Linked DNA regions of Diceros bicornis minor. The protein of the gene in region 3 interacts with the protein of the main gene of each other region in a pairwise test. Links are inferred from orthologs where the notes say so. Each region holds a gene or a part of one and is shown on either strand. Other genes may lie near its edges.

Region 1 (9,745 bases), on a different chromosome or scaffold from region 3:
AGGCCTCCCTGACCACCCTGAGGCTCCTGCCAACTCTCTCACCAGTTTGTTCCCTTCCAAGCATTCATCACATCTTGTCATCTTAGATAGTCACTTATCTATCACTTGTTTCCTGTCTCTCCCACCATCACACTCTTCCATATTTCCTTCCTCCAGGAACCAAGCACAAGAGGGGACACTATTGAGCAAGTGGTAGGACTGGAACTCAGGCCACCTCAAAGGCCAAGACTCCTCAGCACCCTGCGTCCTCCCAACCCCGAAGCTGCCCCAGGCCTTCCCCCACCTCTCCCCCTCCTCCTCCAACATCAAGTCACTCATTCAAGCTGGGCTCTGGCCACTTCTAGCTGAGCCCAGTTCTTCCTCCACAGACAACACATCTAAACCTCTGCACACGCGGGGTCCACAGCCCGCAGGGCCCTTTTCCACTCCATCCCCTGGCCACCTTTGCAGCAGGGACTCTGGCACCAGCCTGCCTGCATTCAAATCCCAGCTCCACCAGGAGACCTCAGGTAAGATACTCAACTTCTCCGTGCCTCGGTTTCCCCAATTGTAACATAGAATTCCTCAGTGCCTCCCTCCCAGCATGAGGCCTGTGCTGACAAATGCCACCAAAATGTGAGCTATGACAACCATTCAACCAAATAGATGCTCCAGTGCCCAGCTCCTGGGCGAGGCCTTCACCGGCCCAGAATGTTGAGCCACTTCTCTCAGAGGCTACAAATCTAAGAGTGCAGAGTCACTGGAATAGACATTTCTCCAAAGAAGGTATACAAATGGCCAACATCACTACTCATTAGGGAAATGCACATCAAAACCAGAATGAGAGGCCGGCCCCGTGGCTTAGCAGTTAAGTGCGCGCGCTCCGCTGCTGGCGGCCCGGGTTTGGATCCCGGGCGCGCACCGATGCACCGCTTCTCCGGCCATGCTGAGGCCGCGTCCCACACACAGCAACTAGAAGGCTGTGCAACTATGACATACAACTACCTACTGGGGCTTTGGGGGGGTGGAAAAAAAGCCCACAGGAGCTATCATGTCACATCCCTTAAGATGGCCATTATCAAACAAACAAACAAAAACAGAAAATAACAATGTTGGTGAGGATGTGGAGAAATTAGAACCCTTGTGCACTCTTGGGAATATAAAATGGTCCAGCCACTGTGGAAACAGTATGGCCGTTAGGCAAAAATTTTAAAATAGAATGACCATAGGACCCAGCAATTTTACTCCTAGGTGTATACCCTAAAGAGTTGAAAGCAGGGACGGGAACAGATATTTGTACACCAGTGTTCACAGCAGCATTATTCACAATAGCCAAAAGGTAGAAGCAATCCACATGTCCACGGATGGATGAATAGATAAATAAAATATAATACATAAAATGGAATGTTATCTAGCCTTAAAAAGGAAGGAATTCCTGACACATGCTACAATATGGATGAACCTTGAAGACATTATGCTAAGTGAGATAAGCCAGTCACAAAAGGAAAAATATTGTATGATTCCACTTACATGAGGTACCTAGAGTGTCAAATTCATAGAGACAGAAGGTAGAATGGTGGCTGCCAGGGGCTGGGGGGAGAGGGAATGGAGGGTTACTGTTTAATGGGTACAGAGTTTTCATCTGGGAAAATGGAAAAGTTCTGGAGATGGATGGGGGCAATGGTTGCACAACAATGCGAATGTACTTAATGCATTGAACTGTACACTTAAAAATAGTTAAGATGGTAAATTTTATTTTATATACATTTTACTGAAAAAGGGAGGGTGCAGAGTCTGGAGCCAGAGTCCCTGGATTCAAATTCCAGCTCTTGGTGACTTCATGCAAGTCGCTAAACCTCTCTGGTGCTCAGTTTCCCTTCACAAGGTGGAAATAATAACAGCAGTAACTACCTTACGTCGTAGAATTGAGGGAATTAAATGAGTTCATATTGTAAAGTACTTTGCACGTAGTAAGTGCTGAAGAGGTATGGTTTCTGACGTTTATAATTTTCATGACATTCTGCACCCCCACCCCTTCCTTCCACTTGCTTCTCTGTTTCTCTTCAGCAGAAGCCAGGCCCAGACTCGGATGGAGACAGAGAGGCCCTCACCTGCCCAGAGGAGGATCAGAAAGGCTCCAGGCAGCAGGGAGAGTGCCTGGCCAGTAGGGCAGCCTTAGCTCGATTTCAGCCCAGCTGTCCAGGTCAGAGACATCCAGCTGGGCACCGTCCAGGGCCACGTCAGGCCCCACGCTATTTCTGGAGTCTCCCCAGACACCTGTCTCCTGGCCTGTCCAGAGTCAGCCTCGCCCAGGGCTGCAGAAACCTAGGAAGAGAGATGTGAGCGGACTGCGGGAGGGGTGTGGGTGCAGACGCCTAAGGCTTCAATCTCCTCTTTGGCCCACCAACGGTCCATCTCCTCCAACTCAATTCTCTGGGCCTCAGTTTGCACCTGAGGTTGCAAAATGGGGACAAAGGGGCTTGTAGGGAAGACTGAATAAGAGAGATACCACATGCAAAGCCTTTGGGAAGGGCCTGGCACACAGGATGGGGAAGGGACAGACCCACAGCCAAGCCCACTTCCTGTTCTGGATTGTCCTCTGCCCAGGCCTGAGCTCACCATCATGGCTTCTTTTTGCAGCCCAGAGAAGTGAAGAAACTTGCCCAAAGTCACACAGCAAGTCAGTGACAGATAACAGACAGGACAGTGGTCTCCTGATTAAATATATTCCCTATAATGAATATATATATGTTTATTTCAATCAGGTGATATACACACATGGTTCAAAATTCAAGAGCTATAAAGGGAATGGAGTGAAAAAAAACTCCCTGCCGCTCCTGTCCCCAGCCACCAGTTCCCCTCCCTGCAGGCACCACTGTGACCAAATAGTTGTATGTCCTTCCGGAGAGATTTTAGGCCCATACCAGCAATAATAGACACATTCTTTCTATTTTTTACACATATGGCAACATGGTGGGTACTGTTTCCATCTTGCTCTTTTTACTCAATAATATGTGTTGTTCTTAATAATATGTTATTAACATATTAATTATAATATTTTATTAACATACTTAATAATATACGTTGTGCCACATCAGTACATAAAGAGCCCATCAGCCCCTGCGGATGGCCACTCAGGCTGTGTCCAATCTTTCTCGATTACAAACCACACACCAGCATCACTGCACCTACATCATTTTGCCTAGAAGTGTGACAGCCGGGTCCGGGGATGCACATGTAATTGTGATGGAGTAGGGGGACGGCGCTCCACGGAGGCCATCCAAGTAGATCTCCCACCAGCACAACACACAGCAAATGGTCAATAAACATTCACTTTAGTTATTTAGTTACTGGGGTTGGGGGCACTCCTCAATTTTGTGCTGGAGGCGAGTGCCTCACTTGCCTCACCCTGGCCCCTCCTTGCATCACATTCCAGTCGGGGAAGATAATAAACTCACTAGTAGGTGAAATTATAGGACATCAGACAGGGTAAATGCTACTGAGAAAAACAAAATAGACACGGGGGAGGGCAGGGCATATGAAGTCAATAAATATTTGTTGAAAGAATGAATGAAAGACTTGTTTTCTTTCTGAGTTCCCAGAGCTCCTCTGCCCAAAGCCAGGAGGAGAGTGCAGAGGGGAGAGGATAAGTAACTCCCTTTGAGAACATTCAAGATTCTCAGATGCTATGATTCTGAGTGTCTAGGATTCCAAGATTGAAGCCAGATGGACCGGGAGCCAGGTCCAGCAGTTGCCAAGGCTGACAGTGTGACTTTGGGCAAGGGGCTTAACTTAAACCTCAGTTTCCCCACCTACAAAAGGAAACCAACAATAGCAACCTGGGGGAAGGGGCAGCCCCAGGAAGCAGGGCCAGGTCTGGGTCAGATGCTCCACCAGGAGGGGTCCCAGCCCCACCTCCAACTCCAGTCTCTGGTGACTAGTGGCTTCAGTTGAGGAACTGCCTCTGCCCTTTCCCCAGACCTGGGGCAGATTCGCAAGAGTTCAACACCGACTCCAGGGCAGGAGCATCTGCTGCCCACCTGGCACCTAGCCCAGAAATGTCCGTCCTGCCCAGTACCCCCAGAGCGGCCCTCTGAGAGGGACAGCAGTGTAAGTCAGAGCCCTGTAGGCAGAAGGACCCTAATAAGCCCTGAGTGCAACCCCTGGCGCTCTGGAGAAGGTAAGACAGATGGCCAGAGGGGACACCCCTCCCCGAGGACGGTGCAGGGAGGGGCAGGGGGGAGGTGATCCAGCCAGGGCTCCACGGGCCGTGTCCCTGCTGATAAGAGGCTGAGAAAGTGGCCACCAGTTGCCCGTCTGGGCCTCTCAAGGCAAATCTAGATCTGCCTAGACTAGAGACCGCGAGGCGGAGCAGAGAAACCTGAATCGGATTCTCTGTGGGACCTCGCTAGGCTAGGACACCTGGCTCTCTGAGCCTCAGCGTTCTCATCCATGAAACGGGGTACCACGCCTCCCGGCGGGTGTGACGCGGGAAGGACGCACACAGCAGGCGCTCGGGGAACGGAGCCCCCGTAGACCCGGGCTCGCGCCCCAGACCGCCCGCGCCCTCACCTGGAGCCCGCGCTGCGCGAGTCCCGGCTCGTCCGGCGCGGGTCTCGGAGAGGCTGACAGCTCGGACCCGGGCAGGGAATGGGCGCGCCCAACGCGGCTCGGGAGGCCCCGGCCCCGCGTGAGGACCCGCAGGCGCCTCTTCGGCGCTGCCCTCCGCACCGAGATGAGCGGGGCACCCGCCTGTCCCGAGCCCCCGACCGGAGCGAAGGTCCCCGCGGCGCAGAGGAAGGGGAAGTGAGCACGCGCCCTCCCCGCCGTCGGCGGAATGGTTTGCCCCGGACATCCTGATTGGTTTCTCGCTTCCGTTCGAACGCCGCGCCGCCGGGGTTGCCAGGCGACCGCTGAGCTTCGGCGCCGCGCGTGAGCGCCCCTGCTCGCAGCCCGCCCGCTCGCCTCCAGTTCCTCCGACGGCGCTTTAGCTCCGGGCCTGGTTCTTTCCCTTGCTCAGCCCGGACTTTCCCCTGGTTCCCAGCTGGACGAGGCACTACTTAGGGTCCCCAAGTGGTTCCTAGTCCCCAGTTTGCAGCTAACTCGCCACGTGAGCCCGGGCAAGCCCCTTTCCCTCTCTGTTCCCCCAGCTGCACAATGATGAGTAGGTTAGTTTTGAAATACGCGTACCCAGCAGTCCTGAAATTTACTAAGGAAATGACCAAAGATGAGCAAGGATTAATATAGCCCAGCGTTATTTATCATAGCAAAATAATGGAAATAACTTCAATGCTCAGCGAAAGGAGATTGGTTATATGAATCTATCCTGCAGAAGAGACAAGTTTATCCAGCATTCACATGCCAAGTAGCTTTACATAACATAACTCAGTGCTCATGGCATAATCCTCTGAGATAGGTACCTTTAGTTATACCCATTTTCTGATGAGGAATATTTTGTCATTAGTGCTGCTGAGTGGATTCTGACCCCTAGTAACCCTGTGCACACAGAGTGGAACCCTGCCCAGTATTTTTGCGCCATCCTCTCACCTTCCGGCGCTATATCAGACAACACTCCGCTGCTGTTCATAGGGTTTTCATGGCCAGTTTTTCCAAAGTGGGTGGCCAGGTCTTTCTTCCTAGTCTGTCTAGTCCGGAAGCTCCGCTGAAATTTGTCCACCATGGGTGACCCCGCTGGTATTTGAGATACTGGTGGCGTAGCTTTCAGCATCACAGCAACAAACAGCCGCCTCGATACAACTGACAGACTGGTGGTGTGGTTCCCTAACTGGGAAATGAACCTGGGCCTCCGCAGTGAGAGTGCTGAATCTTAACCACTGAACCACCAGGGCTGGCGATGAGGAATATTATGCAGCCACTAAAAATGATGTAGTTAGGGGCTGGCCCCGTGGCGTAGCGGTTAAGTTCACATGCTCCACTTCCGTCACCTGCACACCCACACCACTTGTTGGTGGCCATGCTGTGGTGGCAACCCACGTGCGAAATAGAGGAGGACTGGCACAGATGTTAGCTCAGGGCCAATCTTCCTCAGCAAAAAAAAAAAAATGTGTTTGAAAGATACTTAAAGTATGGATAAAATGCTAAGAAAGTGTTAAGTTTTTAAAAAGTATGTTTCAAAGCACTATGTACAACATGAATATGTATTAAATACATAATTGTAATATCCCATGTATATATGTGTAATCATTTATAATAACAGCAGTTAATTTCTTCTTTGTGCTTTTGTGGATTTTCCAAATTTCCAACACTTAAACATGTGAAGAAAAAAAAAACACATATTTTTAAGAGGATTAGAATAAATTAACTCTAAGGGCCCTTCGAGATGAGGAAATTCTGTTGCTGTGAGCCACTGTGTGGGTCTAGCACCTTGCTCAGTTTGGAACCAGCCTCTGTTTTCTATTCCCGATGGTGTCTTTTTTCTTGGGTTGGATTGTCAACGACTGAGCACTTACTGTGTACACGCCTTGGGCAGACGGGGGAGGAGGACCAATAATGTATCAATAGCTAACCATGATTTCGTGTTCTGGCCTGGGCACCAATCAAATCAGAACAGATACTGCCATGAACAGGGGTTCTGGCCGTGTCTGTGAGGACCAGCTAGACAGCAAACCCGGCACTAACTGTGCCCCCTGCCAGGCTCTCCAGGCCTTACACATTTCCTCATTTGTCTTCGTTACTGTCTGAGCACAGGGAGTCTATTACTCCCATTTTATAGATGAGAAAACTAGGGTTTGTCTGGCTCCAGCAGGAGTCCTCTCCCCTGTTCCGTTACATTCCCGCGCAAGTGTGCACGACCTGCTTGGCTGCGCCAGTGAGGAAAGGCAAGGGGAATCCCACAATCCGAAAAGACACGGAGAAAACTGAGCCGGGGCGGACCCAGAGAAAACTGAGCCGGGGCAGACCCAGACTTGGTGCTTCCTGCGGCTGAGACAGTTTAGGGGGACTTATTTAAGAAAAAGACTACAAACTTACAAATATAAAATGAGGTAATAAAGTGATTATTTGGTTAGAAAGATAAAAGAAACCTCAACAAATGACAAATTCCACAAACATTACAAAATCCAGAGAAGTAACATTATTTTTCTGAGTTACCTGCTTGACATGCCTCCATAATACTTTCCCCAAACAAGCGTCTGGCTCCCCGTCCACATTTCTCCGCTGCCACGTCCGGGTGGTATCGGGCACTGTAAGACCACTTGGATATCGTGATATGACCTCTGACCCTGCACCTGCACGTCACAGTGCTCGTTGAGGCAGCTCAGTGAGCTAGGTAGGGGTACTCCCGGAAACCATTCCTATACCAGGTCAGTTGGTAATAATTGCGCTATTCACAAAAGTGACTGGAAACAATGTAAATTAAACCACTAAACCCACACTAAATGTCAAGGTCCTCTTAGCCAGAGCCCCAAAATTCCTTACTCACCCCAACATCATCTGACACAAGGGGAAGTCAGAGTGGAAGGAGACGGTGGTTGGTCTTAACAGAGTGAGGTTAAAATGCCTTACTTTGGCAAATTTTACGAAAGCATCCGACCGTGTGAAGCCTCCCAGACCTCGCTTCCCGGTCATTCACACGGGAATGACTGTGACGGTGTTGTGGTCAGATTCTTCTCCGAGATGTTCAGCTTTAATCGGGGGTTGGAAGATATTTGAGATGCGGGGACAAAGGCCCTGCTGCCGCCCGCATCTTCAAGGCTTGCTCTGCCCTGCACGCCCCACAGTTTAGCACGAGCAAGACAACACAACCCTGCGCCTCGCCCCCAGATTAAGAAAGCGTGGCGGACAGAGGGCAGAAGGAACCTCCCCTGGACTCCAGATTAGGCCCCACGAAGAGAGGTCATCGGGGCACACCTGGATTCTGGAACTCTGAGCATCCTCACATGACAACAGCATCCTGGTGATGGCCCCCATCTTCAAGGATCTGTTGAGCACCTGGTGCCAATTCAGGGTGACTGAAGCATCCAGTCCTTCCCCTCCCCCACCGCGGGGGGTGGGGAGGGGGAGCCCGGAATAAGAAGGTAGACAAGCTGTCCTTAGTGTGCCCAGGTCAGAGGGAGCTGGAGGGTCCTGTGGCCTTATCCTGACCCCGCAGGTGAGCATCTCACCGCGTGGACAGGCCTCCCCCGGCACCCTGACCCTGGCAGTATTTGCTCCACTCAGCTAGAAACTGAGATGAAATCAGCCTTGGATATCAGTTCCCTATCTTCTGGGCACCCCGGGCTGTATTTTGTTTTGTTTCATTTAATTTAAAGCGTATTCTCTCTATATGTATTTGCTTGCGTCTGAACTTCTCTGGAAGGACCCACCAGAAACTGGTCCCAGTGGTGGCTGCTAGGCTGACTGGGGGACAGGGGAAAGAGAATAGCTTCTTAGAAAATACATTGTTATACCTTTTGGATTTTGTACCTTATCAATGTATTATCTATTTAAAAAAATAAGGAACACTTTTAAGGATAGTCTATGAGAGAACAAAATAAGGCAGTGAATTAAAAGAAAACTCAGCCCAAATATGTCCCTCCAAACACTGAAAGTGAGAAGGTCAATTGAGATGCCCTTTCTGAAGGGCAATATAGTCACACTTCTCAAAAAAATTTGAGAAATTTTGTGCCGTATCAATAGGCCAGTACTCTGATCTAGCAACTGTACTTTTAGAAACAGACCCTAACCGAATAATGAAAGAGATTCAGAAAGATCTAACAAGAAGAATATTTACTACAGCATTGCTATTAACAGCAAAAAAAAAAAAAAAAAAAAAAAAGAGGAAACAATTAAAACCTAATAAACCTAATTTCCTGGCCACAGAGCAATGGAAACGGTGGATGGGACTGGAATGGAATACCATACAGCCATTAAACATGATGTTTGTGAAGAATATTAAGTGATATGAAAAGATTTTTTTAATATTTTATCTCTCAACTCATTTATTTGTTCCAGAAATATTTTTTGAGCATCTATCACATAGATGTACGCACGTCTTTCTGAGCCTCAGTTTCCTCACCTGTAAGATGAGCGTTCAGTCTGCCTCCCTCCCTGGCTTGTGAGGCACAGCCCCTGACTGACCCTCAGTGCCCTTGGCTGTTATTTCGGCTGCTGTTCTTATGAGGCTGTTTGCTAGTATAAGCTCATGGGGCAGCGTGTCCCTGAGTATCGCTCCCCTGCCCAAATGCTCCAAGGGCCCCCCAACAAGCTTTGAAGACCATGGCCTTTGGAGCTGACCCCTGTTAACTTCATGTTCTACCACCCTCCCCCTCAGCCCAGCTCTCTCCAGCCACTGGCCCCTGTGTTGCTTCTCAAATACACCAAGCACCCTCAGGCCTCAGGGCCTTTGCACATGCTGTTCCCTCTGCTGGGCCCCTCTTCCCCCAGACAGCCACACAGCTGCCCCCTCACCTCCTCCCTCACCTCCTTCGGGTCTCTGCTCAAATGTCATCCTCCCAGGGAAACCTTTCATGCTCCCCCCTCATTCACATTTCTCTTCAGGGAGCTTCACTTCCTGACATTGGTGTGTCCCTGTGCCTGTGTCTGGTCTGTCTCCTCCACCACCCGTGAGCTCCCAGAAGGCAGGGTCCGCACTCCTCTCACCCACTTTTCCTGCAGTTAGAGATTCGCAATGCCCATCACCGTTGGAAAGGCTCTGAGAGCTCCTGGAGCAGGAATTCCTCCTTCTCTTTGCTTGTTCCACGTTTCCCAAACATATTCCACCCTGAAGCCCTGTATCCTCACCCCACTGAATACACAGCCCACAGCA
Region 2 (9,958 bases), on a different chromosome or scaffold from region 3:
ACAAATCAGGGTTTACCCCTGAACTACACAGAGAGGAGTAAATGCCCCACCCTGATCACCTTGAGCAGGGAAGCTGGGGGAATGACCAAGTTAATCAGCTGGGGTGAGCAATAAGTAACAATTCCCAGCTCCTTCTTTAGCGGAGAGGGAAATAAACCAAGCATTCATTGAGGCAGATGCGATGCTGAAATTGTCAGGATTAGGGCACTTATAACACCAAGAGTTATCATGTATCAACTGCTGATAATGTGTCCAAGACTGGGTTAGGGCGGCAGTTGATAACAAACTGGTAGATAAAAACGACAAACAAACACATAGAGAAGGAGATTGGATTGGTGGTTACCAGAGGGGAAGGGGGGAGGGAGGAGGGCAAAAGGGATGATTAGGCACATGTGTGTGGTGATGGATTGTAATTAGTATTTGGATGGTGAACATGATATAATCTATGCAGAAATAGAAGGATAATGATGTACACCTGAAATTTATACAATGTTATAAACCAATGTTACCGCAATAAAAAAAAAATAACAAACCGGTACTATTATCCCCATTTTACAGATGAGAAAACTGAAGTTCAGAGATATGAAATAATTTGGGGCTAATTGGAGGCTCCTTCCTTCACATCGGGCTGGCTTTGAAAAATAATATGAATACCAACAGAAGTTAGAGCCATTCCAACAGATAAATGTACTCCAGATGGAAGCAGGCTGAGCTACCTGAGGGTTCTGGATGGAAGGTTCTGGAACTGAATTCCATTTTCCAGCTTCCTCTACACAGAGTAGCAGGCCTGTTAGAATAAGGTCTGATGAGCTCACCTGATTTACAGATGAGGCATCAATGGAGGCGTAATGGGAGAGTCTGCCCACACACCAGAGGAGGGCAGGATTACCTGCACAGGTTTCTTTCACGGCGATGACCTCCACATTGGCAGGAAGGAGGTAAGCGCCATAGGCCAGGAGTGCTTGGGGGGATAATCGATGTGGTAGCATCCAGGGAAAACAAACAAACAAATAAAATTGAATGACAATAACTAAAAGTGAACCACGATGAAGGTTGTGCTCCCCTTCCCTCCATGGTAGGTGGAATAATGGCCTCGACCTCCTAATCCCAGAACCTGTGAATATGTTACCCTACATGGCAAAAGGGACTTTGCAGATGAGATTAAGGTTAAAAACCTTGAGATGGGGTGGTTATCCTGAATTATCCAGGTAGGTACATGAATCCTTAAAAGTGGAGAAGCCTTCCCAGCTGTGGTCCAGGGAGATGTGGCTAGTGAAGAATGGTGAGAGGGAGATGCTATGCTGCTGGTTTGAAGAAGGAGAAAGGGGCCACGAGCCAAGGAATGTGGTGGTCTCTACAAGCTGGAAAAGGCAAAGAAACCTGTTTCCTCTAGAGCCTCCAGAGAGGAATGCAGCCTTGCTGGCACCTTGAACTTAACCCCATGAGACCCATGTCAGACTTCGTCCTACAGAAGCATATAACGTATATAAAATGTTAATATCTGGAGAAAGTCGATGCGAAGTATAACCTTTGCAATTACCTTTGCAATTTTTCTATAAATCTAAAACTATTCTAAAATTAAAAGTTCAGTAAAAAAAATAGCCTCCTATGGTTGGCCCCGTGGCCTCGTGGTTAAGTTTGGTGTGCTGTGCTTTGGTGGCCCAGGTTTGGTGCCTGGGCGTGGACCTACACCACTTGTCAGTGGCCATGCTGTGGTGGTGACCCACATGCAAAATAGAGGAAGATTGGCACAGATGTTAGCTCAGGGAAAATCTTCCTCAGCAAAAAAAAGAAAAAAAAAAAAGACTCCCAGGCCCCATCCCTGGCCAATTAAATCAGAACCTCTGTCTCGGATCAAGTATCAGGATTTTAAAAAATCTCTCCAGGTGATTCAGACCTGCAGCCACAGTTGAGAGCCACTGGTGCACTGCAAGCACCTCAGGAAGTATAAAACATGATGGAAACGCAGGTTGTTATGATTAACCAACCAGCGCATTACTTTTTAATAAGTTACACAAGTAAGAGTGACCATCGTAAAATTAAAAACCCAGAGAGAAATAAAAATTAAAATCACCCCTCATCCTGCCCCCTAGTGATAGCCACTGTTTTTGGTGAAAGCCCTTTTACACTTTTTTCTCATGGATACCTACACATTATTATTCCTGTTGTTATTATTATTAAAACACAAAACTGAGGCTCTGAGAGGCAGCCCCATAGCCCCAGGGTCTTGGAGCTCCCCGTTTACTTCTGCATCCTTTGTCTTCAGGGAGGATGGGGAGCCCAGCGCAGGGCAGAAGAGAGAAGCCAGAATGGCTCATGTTGAAATGCATGATAACCCAGTGTAGATAAATGTGCATTGGCAATCCCACCTGCTAATTAAGTGACAGCCTTGCACGGCCTCCAGCGCTGTCACATTCCAGCTAATGGGGAGCTGCTCTCGGGCTATCACACCATCTCCTCATTCCTGTTTTCTACTCCCGTGGTAGGACAGCCAAAGACACAAGTCCAAGAACAGCCCTGAGTAACTGTGCGCTGGCCCAGGACCCAGTGTGTGCAGCGTCCACCTCGACAGTCCCCTGCCAGGGCTTCCTCTTTCAGCCCCCTGTGGGCCATCCTCATCAACCTGTCACTGAACATTTAATGTTGCTGAACTCTTGATCTGGCCCAGCTGGTCCGCATCCGCTGGCTTCTTTTAAGAGCTACACCTGCAAGCTGCAAGCTCCTGGAAAAGCAGACTGAAGAGAGATTCGCAAGCTCTGGAGGTTGGGTGTAAGTCCTGGCTCTCATAGTCCTTGCTGTGTGACCTCAGGAGAGTTGCTTCACCTCTGAGGCTCACTTTTCTCATCTGCAAAATGGGGGCAGGAACCTCACAGGTTGGAAGGAGGCTTAAGCAAGGGAATCCACCTAAAAGCATCTGGCACCTGGTAGGTATTCAAACAACGTTAGTTCCTTTTTGTCTTTCTTTCAACACCATCTTTCCCTTTTTCTTTGGGAGAAGGAAGAGAAGGGACTCCAAGCTGGGGAATCTACTCATTCATTCTCAACAAATATTGATTGAGTGCCTCCTATGGGCCAGGCGCTGGAACGACAGCAGGGAAGGTAATGAGTCCTGCCCTCGTGGTGCTGCTGAGAGGGCACAGGCCCTGGAGTCAGACAGAGCTGGGTTCAAATCCTGGCTCTACCACCTACACGCTGTGGTTCCTTGGGCAAGTGATGCCGCCTCTCTGGGGCTCAGTTTAGGCAACTCTAAAATGGGGACAACAGGGCTCCTGGGAGGAACAAAGGAAAAGATACTTGTAAAGATGCTCATTAGAAGTTGAATAGTGGGTGCTGGTGAGGATGACTGTCCAGCAGAAGAAGCCCAGAGGCCATGGCCTGGGGCTCAGGCTTCCAGGACCAGGCCAGTCTAGCCCTAGGCCCTTGAGTCCCACTAGTGGGGTTTGTTTGGTCCTTTAAGGCCATTATACAGATGAGGAAACCGAGGCCCAGAGAGAGGAAGAGCCTCACCCAAGAGGCACAAAATCAGAACCTAAAGTGACCCGATTCACGTATTTCTGAAGTTCTTACCACTCAAGGAGTCTTGCCAACAACAGTGAGCTCTTGCATTGGGGGGCAGCTCTGGCTGGGCTGGTCACAGTGGGTGGCTCTGCCTCTCTTGCCCGCTGGGAACACAATATGGAAAAGTGGCCGTGAGCTTGGCCAAAGGGGTAGGGACCAATGGGAGGGTAACCGTGGGGAAGCTCATGCCCGGGGCAGAGCAGACTCCGAGTAAACACATGTCAAGAAAAGGGAGATGAGAAAGAAAGCATGCTCGCTGGAGATGCCCCAGGTGCTCTGCTCCAGGGCACTCATCATTTAAATCTTCATTTCCTCTCAGGAGGCAGCCCTAGAAAGCAGCACTGTTGGTATTCTTGTTAAAAGGTAAACAGAGGCACATTAAAATTTTCAAGGGTTTATTTGAGCATACATGGATTCAAATTGGGGAGCGTCAAACCAAAGGTGTTTGGGAGCGCTCCACCAACAGGAACCAGGGGAGAGGTTTCTATAGAGAAGACTCAGAAGGAAATGGGTTGATTGGATGTAGTGGTGGCCTTATTTGGGGAAGCCTACTTGACTGTGATTGGTAAGTTCCATTTTCTTGGATTCGAGCACATTGACTCCGGCTTAGGTTTCGGTTTGGTAGCTGGGCTACAGAGCCGTTAGAGCCACCCTGGTCCAATGGCCCCCTTGTTCAATTACTGTAACATTCTCATTTCACAGACATGATGCTGAGGCACAGAGTGATCAGGTGACCCGCCCAAGACCACACAACTTGCGTGGTGGAGGTTGGAATAGAGACCACGATGTTCAACAGGATACTATACTGTATCCAGGAAAAACAGAAACTGATAAAGGAATGAAAGGAAGAAGACATGAAGAAAATAACAGGAGAATGAATGAAAGAGTGAATATTTTTCTTTATTATCTTTTTAATGAAATAGTTGATACATAAAACATTATTTGTAACACTCGTGAGTTATAAAACATTCTAACAGAATGAACACCCTTGAACCCACCACCAATCTAAGAGGACAATGGAAAGTCACCAATAACTCATATCTACTTACACCAGTGGTTCTCCCAGCTGGTTGCACACTGAACCCACCTGGGGAGCTTAGATAGCCACTGATACCCGCAGAGAGCCTGATGGGATTTGTCTGGAGTTTGGTCTGGGCATCTGGATTTTATTTTTTAAGGCATCTGTATTTTTAAGAGCTCCCCAGATGATTCTCATGTGCAGCCAGGCTTAAGAACCACTGATTGTTATTCCCCTCTCCTATCGTACCCCCCTGATTTCCCCCCACCCTCACCTTCATTCCTCCAGGTAACCACCATCCTGAATTTTGTGTAGTAAGTGGATTCTTTTCCATCATCCTTCTGTTTCCAGGACTAACGACGTTTGCGATTATCTCCCGCCCACCACGAGGGGGCGCCAGAGAAAAACCACAGCCTCCTGTCTCTGCGCGCCCGGCGTTGCGCGGGAGGCGGCTTGACCCTCGCGGCGCTCCGTCACCGGTCCGTTGCCCGGGCAACGAGAAACGGCCGGCGTTGGTGCTGCGCTGCCGCGGAGTGTCGCGGCGGGACCGGCCGGGCTTGGTTGAGGCGCGCGGGAGCTCGGGCCGGGGGACTCTTCGGAAACGTGAGTGGGAAGGTGGGGCGCGGCCGGGAGCCGGGACCCGCAGAGCCCGGCCGCAGGCGGCCCCGCGCTGGCTTCCGGGGTTCAGGGAGCCGCTCAGCTTGTGGGTGGCCGATCCGGCACCGGAATCTTAAGTTTCTTGGCTCCTGGTGCAAAGATTTATCCACGGGCGGCTCACAGGGCGAGGAAGAAAGTCTGTCAAGCCCGCCACAGTCTCGAGACAGAGCATCAACTGGCAGCCGCAGGCTAAACTTGGCCCACAGCCGCGGATGGTTTCCCCCAGCTCTGGAGGCCTCGGAGTCTGAGACCTGGCGTGGACCCGGGCCTATGGGCTTATTCAGCAGACGTTCCTTACGCACTGTCCCAGTCAAGCACTGTGTAAACCCTGCACATGCGGGCAGCTGTTGGGTCAGGGGAAAAGGTGTCCCGAGTGAGACTGCTCTGCATTCAAGAGTCCAGTTGTGTTCCCTGATTGCTCTGTGACCCTGGCAAATCCACTCCTCTCTCTGGGTAGCAGTTTCTCCATCTGTAGGATGAGGGATCTGCCCTCCATGTAACCCAGGAAACTTCCAGGTGTGACACCTAGGCTAGGCCCCTTCTGGCCAAAGCCGGGGCATCGTGCTCCCAACTGGCAGCCTCTTGCAGTCTACAGAGCCCGGGCCCAGGTCTCTGACCGACATGAATTAGGATCCCAGCTCTCTTATTTCCTCTGCTTCCCAGCTTTGTGGTCTTGGGCAAGTCACTTTACCTCTTTGAACTTAAGCTGCTTCACCTGCCGAATAATGGGGTGATTATAACAATGAAAAGGTCATGAATGTCAAAAGTTTGGCACATACACATGTTCCTTAAATTACTATCCGTGTTACTTTAAGCAGAGCATACAAGGCCCTGTTGTGCTTGGTCCAGCATTGCTAAGAGTGGTTCCCTGTCTCCATCTCCAGTGCCCTTGATGGTGTCTGCCCATAGCCGGGTGCCATCTAGGCTTATTTAAACCGATGATTCGCAACCGTGATGGCAGATCATTTAAAAAATGCTGATGTCTGGGGCCTACACCAAGACTTGTTTGATTTAATTGGTCTGGAATGGGGCCATCCTCCACCGGGCGATTCCAGCGTGCAGCCAGGCGGGGAGGACCACTTATGAAAGGGATGAGGCCAAGCTTGTGAGGGTTCCTGGGGTTGTAGCGACTCATTTTCCTACCATTGCTGTTCTCAGATGGCCCTCCCCACGCTGCCCTCATACTGGTGCAGCCGGAGGCTCCAGGATCAGCAGACAGCACGACAGCGACAGCGAGAGCAGGAGGCCCGGCTCCGGCAGCAGTGGGATCAGAACAGCCACTACTTCCGGATGTCCGACCTCTGCAGCTCCAAACAGGCAGAATGGAGCTCCAAGACCTCCTACCAGCAGAGGTAACTGTGTAGTGACTGTGATTGGATGATGCTGGGGGGCCATCTGCTGGGGAGGGGATGTGGCCTTAAGGACCAGGAGAGTGTGGCGTGACAGCATGTTTTCTCGAGGGGTTTGCGGAACAGCGTAGATTACCTGCATGAGGTTTTTCCAACTGTAAATTGAAAAAAAAGACCCTCAGTGAAGTAAAACTTTTGCACTGCAAAAGATAAAGCAATAATCTGGAGAATCTGGAAGTTTTCTTGTAACTCCACATCCCCAGAGAGAACCACAGTTAACAGCCTGATTCATGTCCTCTCATACTTTTTCCCATTTGTGTGTGTATATAAATATATACAAATATAAAACAAGATTCTACAATGCGTAGTGTTCTGTGACCTGCTCTCTTCACTTTGGCTGGAGGACACCTTCCCGTGTCAGCATGTTAAGTCTCCCTCAGCCTCTTTTACCCACACAGCAGAGCAGAGCGTTCCACGTGTGGCTGTGGCATGATTGATTTACGGTGGGCTCCTTCTCACCCAGCATGCATGCTTATCAGCGTGAGAAGATGAAGGAGGAGAAGAGGAAGCATCTGGAAGCCAGACGGGAGAGACTCAGGCAGCTTCTGCTGGAGGAGCAGGACTTGCTGGCCAAGGAACTGGAGGAGCTGAGGCTGAGCATGAACTCGCGGGAAAGAAGAATCCGGGAGCGGCACGGGAATCTGAAGTCGGCCCGAGAAGAGCAAAGGAAACTGGTAACTTCTCACAGCCCTTTAGGAAGCTATGGAGCCGGGGCATCCCGAGCCCATCAGCGTTGTGCATGTGGGGTCACCGCTGGGTGCTCTGGTCTGGTGAGATGGCGATAACTCCCGAGCCAGCTGGGAAAAGTGCTTACTCTAAGTTGTTCTTCACGTGTGTTTTGCATAAGTCATCCCTCTTTTCTTTGGCCCCTTAAATCATTACATCTGAGTCCTTTTTCTTTATTCAAGTTCTATGGTCCCACAAAGGCCTGGGACTGGTGTATTTTATCTTCCAAAGTAGTTGTGTGGAATGGTGAGCCCCAAGCTGTGTTTTAAGCCTGCTATATATTTGGAAGCAGGTCTGTAGCATCTAGGACCCATCTGAAACATCAGATTTTGGCCCCCTTTTGTCACCATTGTAAGAGTGATTTGTCATGCTGTCCAGGTCCACTCAAGTGTCTGGCTCCCGGAGCCAGGGGTGCCAGGCAGGCAGGAGGTCTGAAGGCAGGTGTAGTGACAGCGTGCCAGTGGAGCAGCTCTTAGCCTGAGCTGACTTCCATTGCCGGTTCTCCAAAATGTGAGTGGATTTGAAAAGCAACGTCAGCTTTCCCTCTCTGTGTTTTCTTGACAGCTTGCCGAACAGCTTTTGTACGAACACTGGAAAAAGAACAACCCCAGACTTCGAGAGGTGAAAACCAAGGAGATCCCTCCGTTGATTTGCCTAAGTAGATGAAATAATTTTAGCCAGCTTGTTTTAAACTTGGATCTTGTGCTGGGGTCAAACAGAGGAGGGAACACTTCAGCCACCGGAAAAGAGCACCATGCAGAAGATTTGGTTCATTTGCTTGTTTAACCACTGTTTATTGAACATCTGCTGCAGTGTCCACATGTCGGGGCGTGGAGATCAGAGGTGGTCTCCACTCTTAAGGAGCTCACGGTCCAGTGGGGGAGCAGTGGGCAGCTTGTAACAGTGCAGGATGCACGGTGCTGGGCAGGCCTGGGAAGAAGGGCGTCAGGGCAGTGCACCCAACTCAGTGGGAGGTCGGGGAGGCATCCCAGAGGAGTTGCTGGGGTGGAGGAGTTTGGAAGGACATGAGATGTTAACTTGATGGTGTAGAAGTGAGGAAAGGACATTCTAGATCGAGGCAACCGTGCAAGAAGCAGATCTGAGTCATGCGAGCAGAGCGAGTCCAGGGAGCTACAAGTGGCTGGGAGGCTAGGATGTCAGATAGGGAGGGGGAGCCCCAAGAGCTGAGGCTGGGGAGGCAGACGGGGCCAGACTTCGGCAGCCTTGTGCAGCCTTCCCTTGGAAGCACTGGGGAGCGCCTGGATGATTTTACACAGGGGTGGAATGGGATCCCAGCTGCATTTTGGGGAGCAGCAGCTCTGGCAGCCATGTGGAGAGGGGTGGGAAGAGGTGATGCCAGGTGAGGGGCGGCTGTAGCAGCCCAGTGAGTGATGGTGAGGCCCAAACTGGGGTGGCAGGAGAGAGGACAAATCTGCAGGACCTGGAGGTGGCGGGGGTGCGTCATGGCTTGGGTGCCATTGTTCAGTGGAGATTGGGCTAGAGGGAGATGATCACATCACTGAGCTCAGTAACTAATTTCAGCTAACAGTTTGTGTATGCGTTTGGTGGTGTTAATTTATATATTCATGATTACATGTAGAAATTGCCGGTCATGAGTAATGAAGCATCTGGGTGCTGTGGAGTATTGTGCAGTTAGCACTAAACCATGGGGGGACCCCTCTCCCTGGCCATTTGTTGGGCTAAGGGGTCCTCTAAAGTCACTCACTCAGAAAAGTTTATTCAGAACATTCAAGTTAGGTGTAAATGTTCATATTTGTAAGTTGAGACGGAAATTTAAACTTTCATAAACAATTTCCCAAACAAAAGCTTTTGGACAGAGTATTGCAATTCATGTTCTGATCCAAAAGATTCTCTAAACCCAGATTATTAATAACCCCACACTTGTTGCATCAAGTAGAGCGTGCATCTTGTGCTACAGGGATACGTGTTTGCACAGCCGCTGTTGTGTGGAGGAAGTGCTGGGGAGCCAGACAGGGAGCTGTCTGCCCCTCCCCCAGCTCCTGCGGCCCTGGGGCCCCGCGTCCTTTAGACCAGCCAGGGTGGCCTTTGAGGTTGTATTTCCATTTCAGTGTCTGCTGAGCTGTTCCTGCTCAACCCCAAGGGAACTTGACTTTGTTCCAGTCTTGAGGTTGGTTTAGAACTGCCTGGCCTGTGGTTGTCTAATTGATTTGCGTTCAGACTACGTGTGTTGGGCTCACCATGAGCTTCCAAGACCCCTGGGCCACTCTGAGTCCTCACAGAGGGAAGTCATGGTCACGTTCCAGTGCATGGCACTGTGCTGCACGTGAAGATCTGTCAGGTGGACCGGTGAGGACATTCATATTCTGCCCCTTCTCATCCTCAGATTGAATTGGACCTTCACAAGAAGCACGTGATAAACTCTTGGGAAACACAGCAAGAAGAAAAGAAACAGGTGTGGCTTGTGACTCTGGAAATAGTCCCACGCGCTATGGTGGGAGACTGTCTCCATGTCTTTGAATTTGTTTCTTGTTTTTAATGTTAATGAGGCCAATCCAGGAATAGACTCTTTCTCAGTTTACTTAACACATGTTAAAACTGAACGTGTGTT
Region 3 (9,897 bases):
ATGTAGGCATCCATCACAAATAATACACCTTTTTCTTGTTGTTTGCTATATTTTCTGCAATTGAATATCACACTTTTGATTTTAAGTGAACTTTTGCTAAAAAAATTACTTGGTCTTTTTGAAATTACGGAAATAAAGGTAATATGCCCCCTTCCTATGAAAATAATCATAAAATAATAATGTTACCTTAACACAAGTTCCAAAGATTCCCAAAAAGAAAAAAATTGGTGGAGTATTAATTCTGTGCAAGCTCTTCTCAGGTCCAGCACACACAAATCCCCCTTTTAGACATGCCATTTTAAAACTACCACTTACGTTTCAAACCATTTGTCCAGCTTACATTTGATCCTCACAACAACCCTAACAAAATAGGTGGTGTTGTACCCATTTCTCATATAAAGAAACTGAGGTATAGAAAATTTAAGTAACTTGCTCCAGACCGCATGGCTGGTAAAAGGGAGAGTCAGGTTTCTAATTATCCTTTGTCTGTCACCCAAACCATTTTCTCTTCTACGAACCCTTGTCCCACTATACCTCCTAAATTTTATTATGATTGTTTGGTTCAAGATACTATCTGAATAAAAATGTGATTATTTCACAATGTAGTTAATGTATATTAGGGCAACATTTTCAAAGCTTTCCAGGCTTGGCTTAAAAACCCCTCCTTGACTGCTGAGTCACTACTCAGAGCCTATTTTCTGAGCCTTTGGTATCAGTACAGTTTTTGGGAGTGCTGCATCTGGTCCTGTTCTTTGGCTGTTTGGTCATCTAACCCCTCCTTTCGCTGCATGACTGGGGCAGCCTCAAGGGTGGGAACACGTTTAGATTTCTTTTCGAATCACTCACCCCATGTGCCAGTAATAGCCAGGCATCTAGTGCCTCCCAATTGGTGAATTCTCTGGATAAGAGGAATCACAAGGGAAGGAATATGGCAAAGACTCCAGTGAAACAGGCTGAGATACTTATCCATAAAATGTAAGGGATCATGTAAGAAGGTAGGCAGTGTATAAACATGGAAGGCTGAGGCACGTTCTTAGCAGTAGACTAAGAAATACCGAGTCTGGCAGCCCACAGATAAAGCCCCAAGTCTCCCACCTTTTGCAGGAGCTTATTTATGCCCATCTCTGTCCCACCTGGCTGAAATTAAAGATTTCACACATGCTTCCAGTAGCTATATTCAGCCGAGCCACCTGCTCCTGGTCATATATGTGGGGGAAGAGGCAGCACAGTGCCTGTGCTCTGGAAATACACTGAGTTCCATTAGCTGTTCCACTAATTTATACCTATGGGTCATAGCTATATGGGCAAGTAACTTAACCTCTCTACCTTATTTACCCCAAGAAAAATTACCTGAGAAAAATTATAGCAGGTACCACACAAAGTGGTTCTGAGAATTAATTTAGTGCTTTGCAGAGTGCTTAGTATACAGTATAAAATCTGTAAATGCACCCTGTCTTTGTTGGATAGTCAGGGCAGTCTGAATTTCCTGGGACTCAGGCGCCCAGCATATCATCAGCTACTGTAGCCAGGAGAAGAGCATTCTGCAGTTGGTGCATACAGCGTTTTATACTGGTCAACTAGGTAAACTGTTAAAATTGTGCTGTTAAATATACATTATTTCTTTCTCTGCTTATTCAGTTACTGAAAAGATCTATTAAAATTGCCCACTAAGATTTTGTATTTTTCTACTCTTAATTCTTTGTATATATGATGCTATGTTAATAAATGAATGAAAAATTGGAATAGTTTTATCTTCCTAGTAAATTATAGTTTTTTACATACCATCCTTATTTATCTACAGTAATATGTTTTTCTTTAATATGAACTTTGTCTATGATAAAAAGTCACAGCACCTCTGTTTGATTTTTTCATCTTCTTTTAATGTTTCTATATTCTTATACTGTAGGTGTGTATTTTAAATAGCAACAGATTCATTTTAATTTTAATCAAGTCTGATAATCTTTTAGTTTTTAAACCATTTTCATTTAATCTAATTATGGTGTATTTGTATTATAAACTTTCCGTATTACTATTGTATTTAGTTTTTGTTACTTTCTACATTCTATTTTTAAATTTTTCCATTGTTGCATTCAGACTGGTTTCAATATTTTTATTATTTTATTTTATATTTTATAATCTTGTCACTTATATGTTGAAATTTTTGTCAAAAGCCCTTTGTTTGGAATGTCTATAGACAATACAAAATATTGAATACAAAAACTGTGTGTATGAGTCCAGGATTGTACTGTTATAGGAGATAATGAGATGATGCTAAACTGCATGGGAACACACATTTTTATATTTATAATAGCAGAGTGAGCTATTAATGCCATCATAGGAAAGACCAATGCCATATTTTGTAAGTCCTTTAAGATCTGTCTGCCACTTTTGACCAGAGCCTCTTGAATAGCTGTTTTCATCAGATGCTAATCACTGAAGCCTGTGAAAGGGAAAGATCATTCACACACCTCACACTCACACAACACAGTGAATCCTATTAGCCTTTGACTTCCAGCTTCCAGCTCCAAATTTACTTTATTACATAAACATTATAGCATAGTATGATGTATATCTTTTATATATATTTTCAAATACATAACTTTTATACACATTTATATGCATCTCTCTCTTTATATATATATATATATATATATATAATTCTTAAATACACACTTCCAAATATAAATAATTTCACATCAAGCTAAACAGGATAAAAACATGTAAACATATGCACCTAGTTCTGGTCAAGTAAAACACAAAACCACAAGGTAACCACAAGTTAAAGAGCGCACTTGAAGGGGATGAGGGAAGGAACAACATGTAAACAACAAGAGATGAGCAGCTGCACCACAAGGCCCCGCCAGGGTCCATTTCTTAAGGCTGTAGTAGCAAAAAGCTCCTTGTTCAGTTAAGACTTCTCCCTTCACCCTGTCACATTTATTCTTGAGGGACTTCAAAATGAGTGTGGAAATTCTGTAAACACTAGACTAGAACTGAGTCACTCCTGTTGAAAACAGAGACGACAAAATAAACCATAAACTGACAGTAATATTAATTTCACCAAACAATAACTTTAAGGACTTTCGATTGCTTTTTAACACAGTGAGACACCATAATCATAGGGGGAAACAAATGGGATGGGCAAGAAAACAGAGATGGATGCTCCATGAAAATGACTTCAACAGCCCCTGTGAGTGACAGATGTGTCTACAAACAGAAAACAGGCAATAGCGGATGACGGAGCCTCAGCACACTAGACCACATGCCACAGCATAATGCTACAGACTCAAATTGAAATGTTTTTTCTAGCTCATAATGAAGCAAGTCCCACTGGTCCTCTGAGAAGGGGAGCTCATTATCTCCCAGTGAAAGGAAACACTTAAACAACAGATTGGCCAGCCGAAGCATGACAAGCTCTTTTTTACAGCTTTTAAAGGGCATGTCGCCCTCTCCCACCTGCACAGGATCCTCTCCCAGGCCCTCAGGGTCTGCATGCTTGTAAAAACAGTTCTCTCCAAATGGGCAATAACCCCCGCTTGCAGCAAAATACCTGCAGGTCTTGTTTCTCATTGCCTCCTTGTACTGCTGAATAAGTTTCTGCTTCTCTTCTTCTTCCTCCACCCAGAACTCACTGGGAATAACAAGGCTGGAAGTGACCCTGCACTGCGGGCAGGATTTGACCAGCCTGCTCCCAAAGTGTTTGGCACTCCTCCACCTGCGGATACACTTAAGACAGTAGGCGTGGTTGCAGTTGGAGAGGATGCCAAAGCGGCGGTCACTGGGGTTGGCTCTGTCATACACCACCTCCATGCAGATGCCACACACTTTGTCCAGACTGCGCTGCACAGCAAACGAGAGTTCCATATCCTTCTCGTGTGCTTCAATGCAGGCCCTTACATGTTCTTCCCTCTGGACAGCATCCACCGGGTGTAAGACCTGTAGCCCACACATATCGCATATGTCTCCGTGGACATACATACATCTCTCCCCACGAAAGCATTGCCCCATGATAGCATCGCGGCAAAGCTGCTCCCCCGTGCCCACAGCAATCTGCTCCCTCTCAGTCACTGAGCTCTGCAGAGGAGCCTCGGGGACAACAAGGGCCCTGCGGCCCCGGTAGGGTTGCCCGGGAACAAACTCAATGGCATCCGCCCAGCCTTCTGCACCTGCTCCTCCGGCAGCTTCCAGGCCTGCACTCTCTCTCTCAGCTTCAAAGAAACCCCTTTCAGCAGCCGAGCCAATCACAGGCAAGGAGCGTGAGGACGCAGCAGGGGGGGCTTTCGCCACTTCCTGAGGCAGGGTCTCAACGTGCGCAGCCGTGCTGGCGCCTCGGCCTGCAGAGGCCCCAGGCGGCGAACTACGACCCTCCCTGGCCATCTGCCGGCCTGAGAGGTCGTGGGAGTAGCGACAGTTCTCCCCCTCCTTGCACCGCCCATGCAGATAATACCTGCAGGTGATTTGCTTTGTCCAGCTGCCGCTGCTCCGGCTCGGCAGCCAGCTGGGCCCGGCCCCTCCCCCTGAGGCCTGGGCAGGCCTCCGACGTGACGCTCGGAGGAGGGCCGGGCTCGGAACCGCAACTTGCCGGGGGGCAGGGCGCACGGGCAGACGGGGCCCTCCAGGACCCTCCCCTGCTGCCGCAGCACCCGTAGGGGCCCCAGCTGCCTCAGAGGCTTCAGAGGGAGCTGCAGGCTCTTCCATGGCAGCTTCTGTGCCCTGAAATGGTGCCGGAACTTCCCCGGTGCCTCTTCCTTTTGGGCTTGAGGCCCGGAGGTCAGTAACCGGCCCGGGGCTCGTCTTTGGGAAATGTGCATCTCTTTTCCTTCCCCCCACTCTCTACTTCCTGTGACTATGAGTTCCTACTTCCCTTTCTGGGCAGGCGCGGCGGACACTTCCTGTGGGAACAACGTCAGTCCTCTGTCGCGTCCGTACGGCGTGCTCGGATCCGTACAGCTGGCATGAGAGTCGGAGCGGAAGCTGCCTTTGTTTGCATCAGGCAGGGCTGCCAGCCCCTCCTCTCCAGCCTCTGTCTTGCTCCGATGCACGCCAGCTGATCCCCCAGCCGCTCGTCGGCCGTCTCCCGTGGAGGACGTAATCGCGGCCTTTGAGGTTTTAAATTTAATCTCTTCTAGCATTCCTGATTGCTTTTTCACATATGTCTATTTTAAAAATCACAATTCTGTCTTCCCCCCTGTGCTTAAAAATTCACCTTGTAGTTCGTGAAATATCTCATACGTGAATTTTATAATTTTATAAATTATTTTGCGTTCACTCCCTTTTGTCTGTGTGGGTCTTTTTTTTTTTTCTTTGTCTCATGACTGTAACTTCTAGAAGCTTTTTCGGTACATTTTCTTGACGATGCGTCATATTTTCTGGTCTTTATTTTCTGGAAATTCATGTGGGCTTACATCGGGAACGTTTTTCGCCAGCAAGGCGTTAGCGGGAGCGCTTGTGATCTGAGGCCGCTTTAGCACCTTTGAGATGTCTCAGCTCATTGTAGTCTCTCTCTCTCCCCTCCTGTGCAGAAGCCGCAGGCTTTGTCCTGTCCCTATGCTGGCTTAATAAGCTGCTGTCCCCTATGTGACCCTGGCTTTTATTTTCTCTTGCTGGTTTAACTCATGGTGGCCTTTTGTTTCCCTTTCTTTCTTTCTTTCACCCAGCTTTGTGTGGAATTGTGGCAGGCCAGTATTTCGTAACATATTCTATACCCTTCTGCTCTCAAATGGTGCCTTTTAATTTCCCTGTGTGTGAGCTCTGTTATTTTGCAGATAGATGTTATTAGATTAGTAAAATAAATTATATTCCTGCTTTGCTAAGAGTACTAACCATGAATGTATAGTGAATTTTATCATGTAGTTGTTTGCATTTTTTGAGAGATGATCATATGGTATTTTTTCCTTTTATTCTCTTAATGTGATTATTTGCACTGATAGATTTTCAAATATTCAACTTACCATTTTTTTCTAAGAATAAACCTTTCTGTGTTATGATGTATCATCATTTTATATATTACTGAATTTTTGTTTGCTAAAATGAATTTCTCAGAGGGAATTCTATAGCCTAAATTTATATTTTAAAATGGGAGAAAGTTTGAATGTAGCACAGAAATCAGATTGAAGCAAATAATAAAACTAATAAATTATTAAAGAAAAACAAACATGAAGTCAGGGGAATGAATCAAAACCCTTTGAAAGGATTATTGAAACAGATACATTCTAGTGAAATTTATCAAAAAAACATGAAGGCTCAAATAATCAAGATCAGAAATTTTAAAAGTGTTATAAGTACATTAATAACAGACATTAAAATCATGAGAGGATACCAGGAACAAAGTTAGGCCATTAAATTTGAAAAATTACATGAAATGGTTATATTTCTAGAAACATGTCTATTAATTAAAAATGACAGGAGCAGAAGTAGGAAACATAAATATTGATCTGTTAGATAAATGAAATCTGTAATTAAAAATAATTCTCTAAATGAAAGCTTTTAAAGCTTTCCCTTTGAAATAAATAAAAAGGAAAAAAATTTTATGCTTATTGTTACAAGTCCAAGCCAGTACAATGAGGCAAGAAAAGAAATAAATGATGTTAGAATTGGAAAGGAACTATTAATGGAAGACAGCAGAAAACTGAGAATAATTTACTGATAAACCATTAGATTTAATAAGCACATTTAGCAAGGACATTGGATAGGAGTGCAATATATAAAATCAGTTATATGTATATCATCAATATCACTTAAATATTTAAAATTCATAACATTAAAAGTTAACTATCCTAGAAATTAAAGTTTTAAAAATTAAAATCATGTTTATTTAAGAAGACCTAAACAAATCGAGGAATACTCTGATTATGCAGTGAAAGTCTCAATATTTTCAAAGGTAGTCTTTTCCTAATTTGATAATCATATGAGAATGTTGCTGTTTATCCACCATGAATCTAGGAAATCTTGGTGATTTTGAATTCTCCTTTATATAGTTATTGAGTTTTGTGCTGAGGATGCCAGTTCTTCCAAAGTCAGACTCACTTGCATTTGCTTTCCTTTCCTAAATGCGTTGGTTCATGCATATTCCTTTTACAGTCCCGAAGATTTTCACAGGAAAAAAGACTTGGAGCACAGATACTAGGCTTATATACCAGGCTCTTCACATATTCATGAATATAAAAATCCTGAACATAAGCCTATTATTTGTTTAATATATTCCCAGTACTGTGTCTAAATTATATTTGATCCATTTTTTATAGACAAGCACTGTCCAATAGAATGTTCTATGATGATTTGATATTTGTGCTATCCAGTACAGTAGCCTTTAACCCCACATGGCTCTTGAGCACTTGAGATGTGGCTAGAGTGACTTAGGAATTGAATTTGTATTTTTTTAATTTCAAAATTAATTTAAATAGCCATATGTGGCTAGTAGCTACTGTCTTAGTGAAGTTCTAGATAGTATGTGATCATCCCATCGCCTCAAACAAAGGAATGGAGATTTCCTAAATTGCCCAAGGCTATGCAGCTGCCACGGGGCAGGGTTTGCCTTCAGATCCCCACTGTGTGGCTCCCACTGGTGTTCATGTCCTACCATTTCATAGTGTACTATATCTTAGAGTTTTATAGTGGCAATATTTCATATACACTATTAGAAACTAAAATTGTACCCCATGATTATAAATATCACGTGAAATTGAATAACTGGAAATAATGGGCAGTGCGTCTTTAGAGAAATGAACACATAGTTCCTGTCCTGATCAAATACCTATTCTCAGAGAATTTTGTCTGACTGTCATAGATCATATTCTTGTCCTGATTTTTTTTTTTGAGCACTGATGGTTTCATACAGTCTCTGAGAACACACATCTGATCATTTCTCCAGTTACTGGGCTTGGCTGAGCCCTCTTTTCCCAAGAAACCTTAGGGCTGGGACCTGGCCGAAGCTAACTTGTACACACACCAGTCTTCAGGCCAGCATGAGATCTCCTGGCTGGTCAGCATTTGGGTGTCCAAGTGGACTGAATAAAAGCAAGGCTCCTCCTCAGCAGGCTGCAATAAGCACCTAGGTCACCAGGAGCAGAGTCACAAGGGGGGAGGTGGTTTACAGCACTGCAGGGCTGAGGCACAGTCCAGGCAGTGTAACAAAAGCCCAAGAGGTAGGAGACTAGTACAGAAGTAGAGTGTAGGATGGATAGAAAAGAGCCAGGAGGCCCGGCAGTCTTTTATTCCAAACAGCTCAGGCCTTCTGGGCCCAGTCCCATGTGGCTGATGTGTCCATATTTAAAGGACACAAATTGTTTCAAAGCAGTTTGCTCCCCCACACACACCTGCTTCAGATCCAACATTTAGGCACTACTGGAGTGTGTGAGGGCGTTAAAAGAAAGTGTCTAGAATGAGGCATCAGGGATTCAAATCTGGACTCTATACTCTCCAACTAAGAATTAACCTTGGGCAAATTAATCATCCTCTTTTAGCTCATCTGGAAAATGATGGGAATAATAATACTAATAATAACAATAATAATAATGAGTGATTATCTCACAGATCTACTATGAGTATTAAAAGAGAGAATTTTTATTAAACGATTGGAACAGTGCCTGTTACAAGGCATAGTCTTTGAGATCTCCATAAATGTCCTTTGTATTTTAGAATCACTCAAATCATCCTGTGAGTAAAGTCTCTAGGCACAGTCTCTTTTTATGTTTCTGGATCCAGCAGTAATATGTCTATAGGATCCCTGGAAATTCTTGCACATAAGAGGTAGTGAAAGAATACTTATTTTCTCATACTGTTGGACAAACTGATTTTTATTTTGAAATTTACAGAGACAGTTTTCTGCAACTCTGGTTCAGAAGTCCAAACTCACCAAATTTCATGCATTAATTATGTGCAGTTTTTTGTTTATTAACTATATCTCAATAAAGCTGGAAAATAACAAGTTGAGCTTTAAAATCAGGCAAAAATAAATATCTTATTTAAAAAAAGAAGTTCAGTTGTGGGTACCTTTGTGCGGTACTTTTTGTCCCCTCATCACTTGTAATTGCCATGGGATTGTGCGTGGGATAGGACTGCTTTAGCTCATCCTGGGAGAGAGTGGGCTAGTTTGAGGAATCCACATCTGGTCACCATGAGTGAACAGCTAGATGACAAGAAAGTTACTCAAAAATGCCTTTCTAATTGCATATTTCAATATGGATATAAAAAGGGTATAAATTATCCTAAAGCCATTTGAATATAGTATCATAAAAATTGCTATGATTATAAAAATTATACCGAATTATATATATTGTAATTAAACATTGAAAATTTCAAGAAATTTTCTGGATGCTTTTCTACAAGTGCCAAGAATTTAGCTACTTTATATACTTTAATGTGGTTAGCAAAATATTCATATCATATTCATATTGATATATTTTACACATCTAAAACATACTTAAATTTCAATTTCTAGCCGGATTAAATAGCTTGCATAATGCTAATATTTCCGTCCAGAACAATGATAGAAACTGGATAAATACATGAAGTAAATGTTTGAAGGACTTGGAAAACAGCTAATGTGGTGAGAGGTTAAGGGGCAAAACCCAAGAGAGAGCACTAAAAAACCTAAATCACTTATGAGTTATAGAAGAAATCACAAAGAAAAGGAGAAAATATTTTCAGCTGAACAACATATTAAAACATTTACGATGCACCTGCAGTGACACTTAGAGGCAAAATTTATAGCCTAAATACATTCATAAGGAAGGAAGAAGCTTCATTTCCAGGAGATAGAAAAAATAAAGATGAAAAGACAGAGATGGGGGGAGAATGTCACACAATAATGTTGGAGTCCTATTGCCTCCTTCCTATTTAGGAAGAGGAAATAGATGCTGTGCCATGTGTACACTCAGACCTGCATGCCCTGGCCAC

Evidence for each region.
Region 1: the proteins of MKRN3 (region 3) and FAM110A interact in binary tests that used the Homo sapiens proteins (3 or more experiments, as listed by UniProt). The two-hybrid records come from large-scale screens. The link is inferred for Diceros bicornis minor from reciprocal best matches to the Homo sapiens genes MKRN3 and FAM110A.
Region 2: the proteins of MKRN3 (region 3) and TCHP interact in binary tests that used the Homo sapiens proteins (3 or more experiments, as listed by UniProt). The two-hybrid records come from large-scale screens. The link is inferred for Diceros bicornis minor from reciprocal best matches to the Homo sapiens genes MKRN3 and TCHP.

Annotation. Positions count from the first base shown.
Region 1 is NC_080758.1:28,925,174-28,934,918, reverse strand, and holds the start of FAM110A (protein FAM110A), read right to left. Parts: upstream 4,713-9,745; 5' UTR 4,552-4,712; intron 1-4,551.
Region 2 is NC_080774.1:17,707,199-17,717,156, reverse strand, and holds the start of TCHP (trichoplein keratin filament-binding protein), read left to right. Parts: upstream 1-5,095; 5' UTR 5,096-5,179; intron 5,180-6,391; coding exon 6,392-6,585; intron 6,586-7,105; coding exon 7,106-7,316; intron 7,317-7,932; coding exon 7,933-7,989; intron 7,990-9,733; coding exon 9,734-9,802; intron 9,803-9,958. UniProt on the Homo sapiens protein: Tumor suppressor which has the ability to inhibit cell growth and be pro-apoptotic during cell stress. Inhibits cell growth in bladder and prostate cancer cells by a down-regulation of HSPB1 by inhibiting its phosphorylation.
Region 3 is NC_080744.1:77,045,667-77,055,563, forward strand, and holds MKRN3 (probable E3 ubiquitin-protein ligase makorin-3), read right to left. Parts: upstream 4,771-9,897; 5' UTR 4,699-4,770; coding exon 3,208-4,698; 3' UTR 2,063-3,207; downstream 1-2,062. UniProt on the Homo sapiens protein: E3 ubiquitin ligase catalyzing the covalent attachment of ubiquitin moieties onto substrate proteins.